Nothobranchius furzeri: one gene and its partner. Each later gene encodes a partner of the first gene's protein in a complex. Links are inferred from orthologs where the notes say so. Each region holds a gene or a part of one and is shown in the gene's direction. Other genes may lie near its edges.

Region 1 (3,657 bases):
TTTCCCTTTTTAATGAGCCACAAGGTGAAGCAGGCAACCTCTAGATTATTTTAAAGGTTGGGGAGGTTTGACCATGTTCTTCGTTGCTGTCCAGGTAAGGAGCTGTTTGGTTTTGACACCCTTCACAAGGTGCTGTGGATCAAGCTGTTGGAGGAGATGTTCTTGGGCATGCCCAGTGAGTACCCCTGGGGCGATGAGATGATGCTGTTTCTCAACGTCTTTAACGGGGCATTGCTGCTACACCCAGAGGACAGCTCCCTCCTCAGGCAATACACTGCCACCGCCATCAACACAGCAGTCCACTTCAATCACCTCTTCTCCCTGAGTGGATACCAGTGGATCCTCCCAACAATGCTTCAGGTATTATGTTAATGTTGGCACAAAATCTGGTGTGTTTTGAGTGTGCAGAGAGTCATAGATGTAGCCCAAAATGAAAACAAAACACAAAAACCACTTATTTTGCCTTGAAACTAAGATTGTCTCATTTTAAGAAGTGATCAACTTGAGTTTGGTCAATCTTAAGAATAACGTTATGACCAATCTGGTTCAAAATAGCAAGATCTAAGAAAATTTGTTAGCCCTCGGAGCGTTGTGAATGACTCTTAGCTATCAAAACTCTGAACTTTAGCTCAATTGCTTTAAATTGACCGAGGCATGTTTCTGTTTTCTTGGGTCAGTTGGCTTTGTCGGCCATCTTAAATCCTGTAACTATTTTTTTAAACAAACGTTTAATGCATTGGTTGCCATTGGTATGTGAAGAGCATGTCAAGCGATATGGCAAAAAATGCTCTAGAAAACCCTCTAAATTCACCTAGTGCTTTGCGAAATAATTTAGTAACACAACAGACAAAATTATGTTGTGCCTGTAAACTTCTTGAATGGGAAATGATAAAAAATATAACATAACCATGTTAGGAGACATGCTTTGAAATAGTGCGTCCTCCTTTGGTGTCTCTAACAGGTCTATGCGGACTATGAGAGCAACCCTTTGCTGCGACAGGGCATCGAGTTCTGCTGCCGGCAATTCTACATCCTCCACAGAAAACCTTTTGTCCTCCAGCTGTTTGCTAGTGTGGCTCCACTGCTGGAATTCACTGTAAGACCTCATATTGAAACATGAATAGGTGTTTTATTTCAAGGTCATTGTGTTAAGCTTTCCGTTTTATTTCTTTATTGTACCATCCACCCCAGACAAGCACTAGCACTGGTCTATCTAAAGGAGTTTCAGCTCAGTGTCTTTTTGACTTGATGGTCTCTCTGGAGGGGGAAACCCTGGATGCTCTAGACGCTCTGGAGTTGGTCAAGGCTGAAAAACCTCTTTGCTCTCTTGGTAATCTTTAACACTTTGTCTCACGCTTGCTGCATCTGGTTGAAGCATCAGCATAAACAATAACTGGTACTCACAATAGTAGTTTTGAGCCTCATTTGACTTTTAACTAATATATTCTTGTCATCTCACAGATTTCTGTTATGGCAATGAAGACTTAGCCTTTTCTATCAGTGAGGCCATCAAGTTGTGTGTTACTGTGGCTGCCTATGCTCCTGAGTCCTTCAGGAGGTAATATCGCCAATGCATCACCTTCTCTTCTCAACTTTTCTACAAATAATCTATTGCAATTCTTTGCATCAACAGTTTCCAGATGCTGATGGTGTTGGAAGCTCTGGTTCCCTGCTACCTCCAAAAGCTCAAAAGCAATACGGTCACCATGGAATCTGCATCTGCCGCCCGGGATGAGATTGCCGCCATCGCTGCTCTAGCAACATCTCTGCAGGCTCTCCTATATAGCTCAGAGTCGCTTACAAGGTTTGTCTCGCATTTATTGCAAAGAATTGTAGATTTCTCTTTCGTATGATTTCAGTGATTATTTTCTTATCCAAACATTCTCACAGGCCAATGACAGCTCCACAGATCTCCCGTGGTGATCAAGGCCACAAGGGTGGCACCACAGCCAACCATACCATGTCTGGAGGCATCAACACTAGGTTGGAAAAAATTAAAATTCTGCTATTTTGGTGCTTAACCCTCCCACTGTCTTTGTGGGTGACCCTGCGAGTAAAGTTGACCATTGAGCAGGATTGATGGTTTATCCCTTGAGGTCCACGTGGCAGGGGTGAGTTGGTGCTCACTCCTCACCCCTGCCACATGGACCCAAGGGATAAACCATCAACTTTGCTCAGTGATCAACTTTCCTCGCGGGGTCACACCCATTAGGACAGTGGGAGGGTTAAAAGTTAAAAATTCATAACTTAAGGTGGTTTGCATTCATAGGGACAATCTCCACCTGGTGGAGGAGGGTCAAGGCATGCCAAAGGAAGAGTTAGATGAGCGCAATGCGAGGGAGGAGTTCCGCCGGCCACGGGAGTCATTGTTAAACATTTGCACAGAGTTTTACAAACACTGTGGACCACGACTCAAAATCCTTCAGAATGTTGCTGGTGAGCCTCGGGTCACAGCTCTGGAGCTGCTGGATATCAAATCCCACATGAGGTAATGGAGTCTTTTACCAAGACAAAAGAAGGCTGATGTTTTTGTAGTAATGTCTTCACTTGTGTCTTTTCATAATGTTAGCAAAACGTGTCATGAACATCTGGCAACATTTTAAACCCTCAAAATGTACATGCACAACCAATAAATGTTCAACCTTAACCAGATTAGAGATGGCCATTACAATCAGTTTCTAAACACATCCCATGAACGACTAGCCTGGCAAGCCAGACTAAATAAATGTATTATTTAGTCTGGCAACGCTCCATTGACAGCTCTCGGTTGTGGGGCGGGTTCTACCGTTGTCTTTCAAATGATCTCTGCATTCCACTGGACAATGAATGTGACATACTCTTGTTTCACTCTGTTGCATCATCCCACCTACCAGGCATATAGAGTGCCCTGATTGGCCCACAAAGCGGATAAAGCTCTGTGATTTGTTCACTAAGCAGATAGAGCACTATGATTGGCCCACCATTATGGAACAATCACAGCTCTTTATCTGTTTGAAACCCCTCTAGAGAGCTGTGATTGGCTAGCCAGAGTCCTGGTAGGAGCTGCGGAGGTTCCAATGGAGCGTGCCTAGACCAAACTTTGCAAAGCAAGAATTTGGTCTAGTACACTAGGCTAATGAATTACTGAATTTTTCTGAAATTTTTATTTTAATAGGACAATCGAATACATTTTGGAGCCAACTCAGTTCAAGATGGCTGCCACAGCTGATCAACATTATAATAAAACAAGAATTTCATCATATCTTTTATATGTAAATTATTGTCGGATGCATATATCTGGTGTGTATGTGTGTCAAAATAATGTGTTCATAACAGTTCCCTTGCCACACTGCTCCTCTACATCACAAATAGTGTAACACTAGCTTTCCTGTTGGTTCACCTCTGATAAATGTTCCCCCAACTGCTTTACATCCACCCAAGTGGCAAAAAAAGAGATATACCTTCTTGCACCTAAGGGGAACAATGGATGTCACAACATGTTTACATTTTCCCCTTTAGTTTTTAAAATACCAATATTTGCCCTTAACTTCTTATTTTTTGTCTGTTTGATGTCATCATTTTAAAAATATTAGACCAGATGATACTCAGTACTCAAGTAGCCTTCTAATCAGATACTTTTTTTTACCCTTACTTGAGTAATAAACCCTATATCAGGAA
Region 2 (3,174 bases), on another chromosome or scaffold:
TAACAAAACTGCTTCCAAAACGTATGTGTGAAAGCCGAGTAGATTTGCAGTAACGTGACATCATCGGCAGCTGAAGGACCCCGAGCCGATCCTGCACCCGAGCCGATCCTGTACCGACACCGGCAGGGTTGTTTACGACGGTTGTGATTCTCCTTTCAACCAGCAGGAGGGAGACTTTTAACATTGCTTTAAAAGATAGCCTGTTAGCATTTTTATTAAGAAAAATAAAATATCAGCAGTACAGGAAAAAGTCTTGCGAGAAGTATTGGGCTTTTTAAAAGTGTACAGTCTTGTAAGCTTCTACATCCACTGGATCCAGTCCGTTACCAGTTGTCATCCAGGAAGATCTCCGGATCAGCATATCAGCATATGGATTACTCTGATTATCGAACAGTTTCCAGAATAAATGACTAAACAAGGATTCTAAGCTTTGTATTGAGTCAAATAAACCTCAATCTGTGTTGTTCATTATTATTTCTTCACAGTTTGCTAACTTCTTTACAGAAATGACAAATCTGAGACCATTTTCTCCTTTAGCCTGCTGCTGGTGCGGTATTTTACCTTATTTTAGTCCTACAAAGTGTTCTCTCAATAACCCCTCCATGCATACTCAAGTGGTTGCAAATGAGGACATGCTGCATGTGGAGTGATCAGGGATGGAACTGGTGTTTGTTGGAGCCAAAGCTTTGTCTCTATCTCCTGTTTTCTCTAGTATGAAACTCATCAACACTCATGTAGCTGGTGAGTTAATGGAGTAACAGACAACTGTAGTCCATCTTTGGAACGGCTGTAGTGTCCTCACACATGGTTGGTGCCACTTTGTAACATAGAGATCCAGGTTCTGCTGCTGCCTGGACAAGCTGCTTCATGTTTCTCATTTGCGACTGATAAGAACTCCCTGGCAACAGCCTCTTGTCATTTCATGTTTCTCCAACAGTCTAAAAATAACCCTAATAATGTTCTCCATATGCTTTTGTGTAAACTGAACCAATATTAAACTGCACGCCCAGCTTAGCCGTGTCTCATCAGAATGATCTGCAACAAAACTAGGGTTACAAGTAAAGTTTCCTTTTGTCAGGAAGCATATTTTATAGTTGGGAAGGAATTCTGTGCAGATTTAACATCTCAACCCGTTCGTCTGTGAAGGCCAAAAGAATTCATCGAGTGCGTGTCCCACATCCGTCAGCTGTCCTGGCTGCTGCTGGGCTCCCTGACGCACTGCGCTCTGCACCAAGGCTCCACCTCCTGCATGCCCATCCCTCTAGATGCCGGCTCACACATCGCAGATCACCTCATTGTCATCCTGATTGGCTTCCCAGAGCAGTCAAAGGTCAGGCCGATCAAGTCCCTTTACACGGCTAACTCCAGCCACCTGTGTTTAGATGCCTTTGTAATGCCTTTTTTGTCCTCAGACGTCGGTGCTGCACATGTGCTCCCTGTTCCACGCCTTCATGTTTGCCCAGCTGTGGACTATCTACTGTGAGCAGGCGGCTGCCGCGCCGTCCCTGCAAAACCAGAACCAGACCGAATTTTCGTCCAGCGCGATCCTCACGGGCCTGGAGTTCTGGAGTCGGGTTACACCGAGCATCTTGCAGCTCATGGCGCACAATAAAGTGGTAAATGTTTGACTTAGTTGTTAAACTTGGAAACTGCTTTTGATGCACTTGTTGATTTGACTCTGATGTGTCTCCCAGATGGTGGAGATGGTTTGTCTTCATGTCATCAGTTTGATGGAAGCTCTGCAGGAATGCAACTCGACCATCTTCGTCAAGGTTTTCTTTTAACTTCAACCATTCCTGTTTATGAGTCTCACATTTAATTAGATCATAATCATCCTCACTCTTTCTCTTAGTTGATACCGATGTGGCTCCCCATGATTCAGTCAAACCTGAAGGTAGGACTTAAATGAATCCAAAACAGGAAGTGAGCATCAACCTGTTTTATAATTTCAAAGTAAGACATTCTCTTCCTTCCTTTGCCAGCATCTATCTGCAGGACTGCAGCTGCGTCTTCAGGCCATCCAGAACAGGGTCAACCACCAGTGTCTGCAGGGTCAGGCGTCCGGGGCGCCGCCGTTCGCCCTTCGAAAATGGCTCCAGTGCACCCAGTTCAAGATGGCTCAGGTGGAGATCCAGTCGTCGGAGGCTGCCTCACAGTTTTACCCCATGTGACCTCCCCTGTGGTCACTGCACACCTGCATGCACCTGCCCTGACTGAACTCTGTGCTCACAAAAGGACTCCTGCACAGACGGAGTCATTTTACCTGGAATATTTTCAGCACCTTTAATATAACGTGTACAGAAAATCTATGCTAATAAAAAAAACGGGTGTTTACAGGCTTGTGTTGGTAACGAAATGACTGAGGGGATTTTTCTATTACCCCACATCAGTCATAGCCAGGGTGTAAAATGATTGTTGAATCTTATAAATTATCCGCTCACGCTGTCACATCGATCTCCTGTCACTTTTTAAGTTCCTCGGCCGCCGGCTGTATAATAAAAATACTTTTTTTCTAAACACCGAGACACTTTGTCATTTTGTCCGAGTCGCCAACCCCTTCCAAATTCAAATGTGACATTTTCTGCCCTTTGATGTCCTCGCTGATGTGGAAAACGTCCGGTTTCCCACAATGCAGGTGCGATAAAATCAGCTCTGGAAGTCTGCTGCTCTGAGCGAGAAACCCAAAAGCTCAGACGACGGCAGAAAAATGACATGACAAGCATTACCCAGCTGCTGTCTTAGATCCTTGTCAGACAGTCAGTCATGCTGCCTGCTGCCATCAGAGCTCAGATCGATCAGAGGCCAATCTGAGTTGCGGCAGCGGCTTTGTAACTCGATAACATGGAGCCAGACATTGGAGGTAAACAAGACTATTTTGGTTGTAACCCCCGACATCCTCTCCACCTATTCCACCCTTCTCCTCTTTGGCAGCAACAAAACAGATTGGCCCACGCATATACCAAGCAAACACAATTACCTTTTGGACTAATGCGGTTTGTTGTGATTAAGCATTGTTGTGAGATCTAACTTTGTTACCACAAAGCTCTTGTCTGAGAATAACAGATGACATGACAGCAGGGCCAGAAAGCTGAGCAGCACATTAATCTTTGTTTTCCCTGCTGCAAAGATTTCATTATCAAGCTTTAAGATGAATTCAATCTAATGATAGGAATG

Evidence for each region.
Region 2: the proteins of protein unc-80 homolog (region 1) and protein unc-79 homolog are in contact, whole or in part, in a cryo-EM structure (PDB 7W7G), measured with the Mus musculus proteins. The link is inferred for Nothobranchius furzeri from reciprocal best matches to the Homo sapiens genes UNC80 and UNC79. Residues at the interface, in NP_780719.2 of Mus musculus: Gln23, Thr24, Trp27, Ser31, Leu34, Arg35, Pro36, Ala80, Pro83, His84, His87, Ser94, Asn95, Asn180, Ala183, Leu187, Phe190, Leu191, Arg337, Leu340, Gln341, Pro342, His343, Arg1317, Asp1320, Glu1321, Asp1324, His1545, Val1546, Asp1547; in XP_030102533.1 of Mus musculus: Thr120, Tyr123, Ser127, Ala130, Thr131, Leu168, Ser169, Ser172, Met175, Ile176, Gln179, Tyr180, Tyr207, Tyr211, Gly212, Pro213, Ser214, Val390, Cys391, Glu394, Glu402, Phe405, Arg472, Cys541, Asp917, Phe920, Ser965, Glu966, Phe967, Ser968.

Annotation. Positions count from the first base shown.
Region 1 is NC_091742.1:61,474,476-61,478,132, reverse strand, and holds part of protein unc-80 homolog, read left to right. Parts: coding exon 1-24; intron 25-94; coding exon 95-360; intron 361-961; coding exon 962-1,096; intron 1,097-1,191; coding exon 1,192-1,330; intron 1,331-1,461; coding exon 1,462-1,558; intron 1,559-1,633; coding exon 1,634-1,804; intron 1,805-1,890; coding exon 1,891-1,983; intron 1,984-2,269; coding exon 2,270-2,488; intron 2,489-3,657. UniProt on the Homo sapiens protein: Auxiliary subunit of the NALCN sodium channel complex, a voltage-gated ion channel responsible for the resting Na(+) permeability that controls neuronal excitability.
Region 2 is NC_091758.1:31,573,778-31,576,951, forward strand, and holds the end of protein unc-79 homolog, read left to right. Parts: intron 1-1,146; coding exon 1,147-1,330; intron 1,331-1,412; coding exon 1,413-1,616; intron 1,617-1,694; coding exon 1,695-1,772; intron 1,773-1,852; coding exon 1,853-1,894; intron 1,895-1,982; coding exon 1,983-2,171; 3' UTR 2,172-2,519; downstream 2,520-3,174. UniProt on the Homo sapiens protein: Auxiliary subunit of the NALCN sodium channel complex, a voltage-gated ion channel responsible for the resting Na(+) permeability that controls neuronal excitability.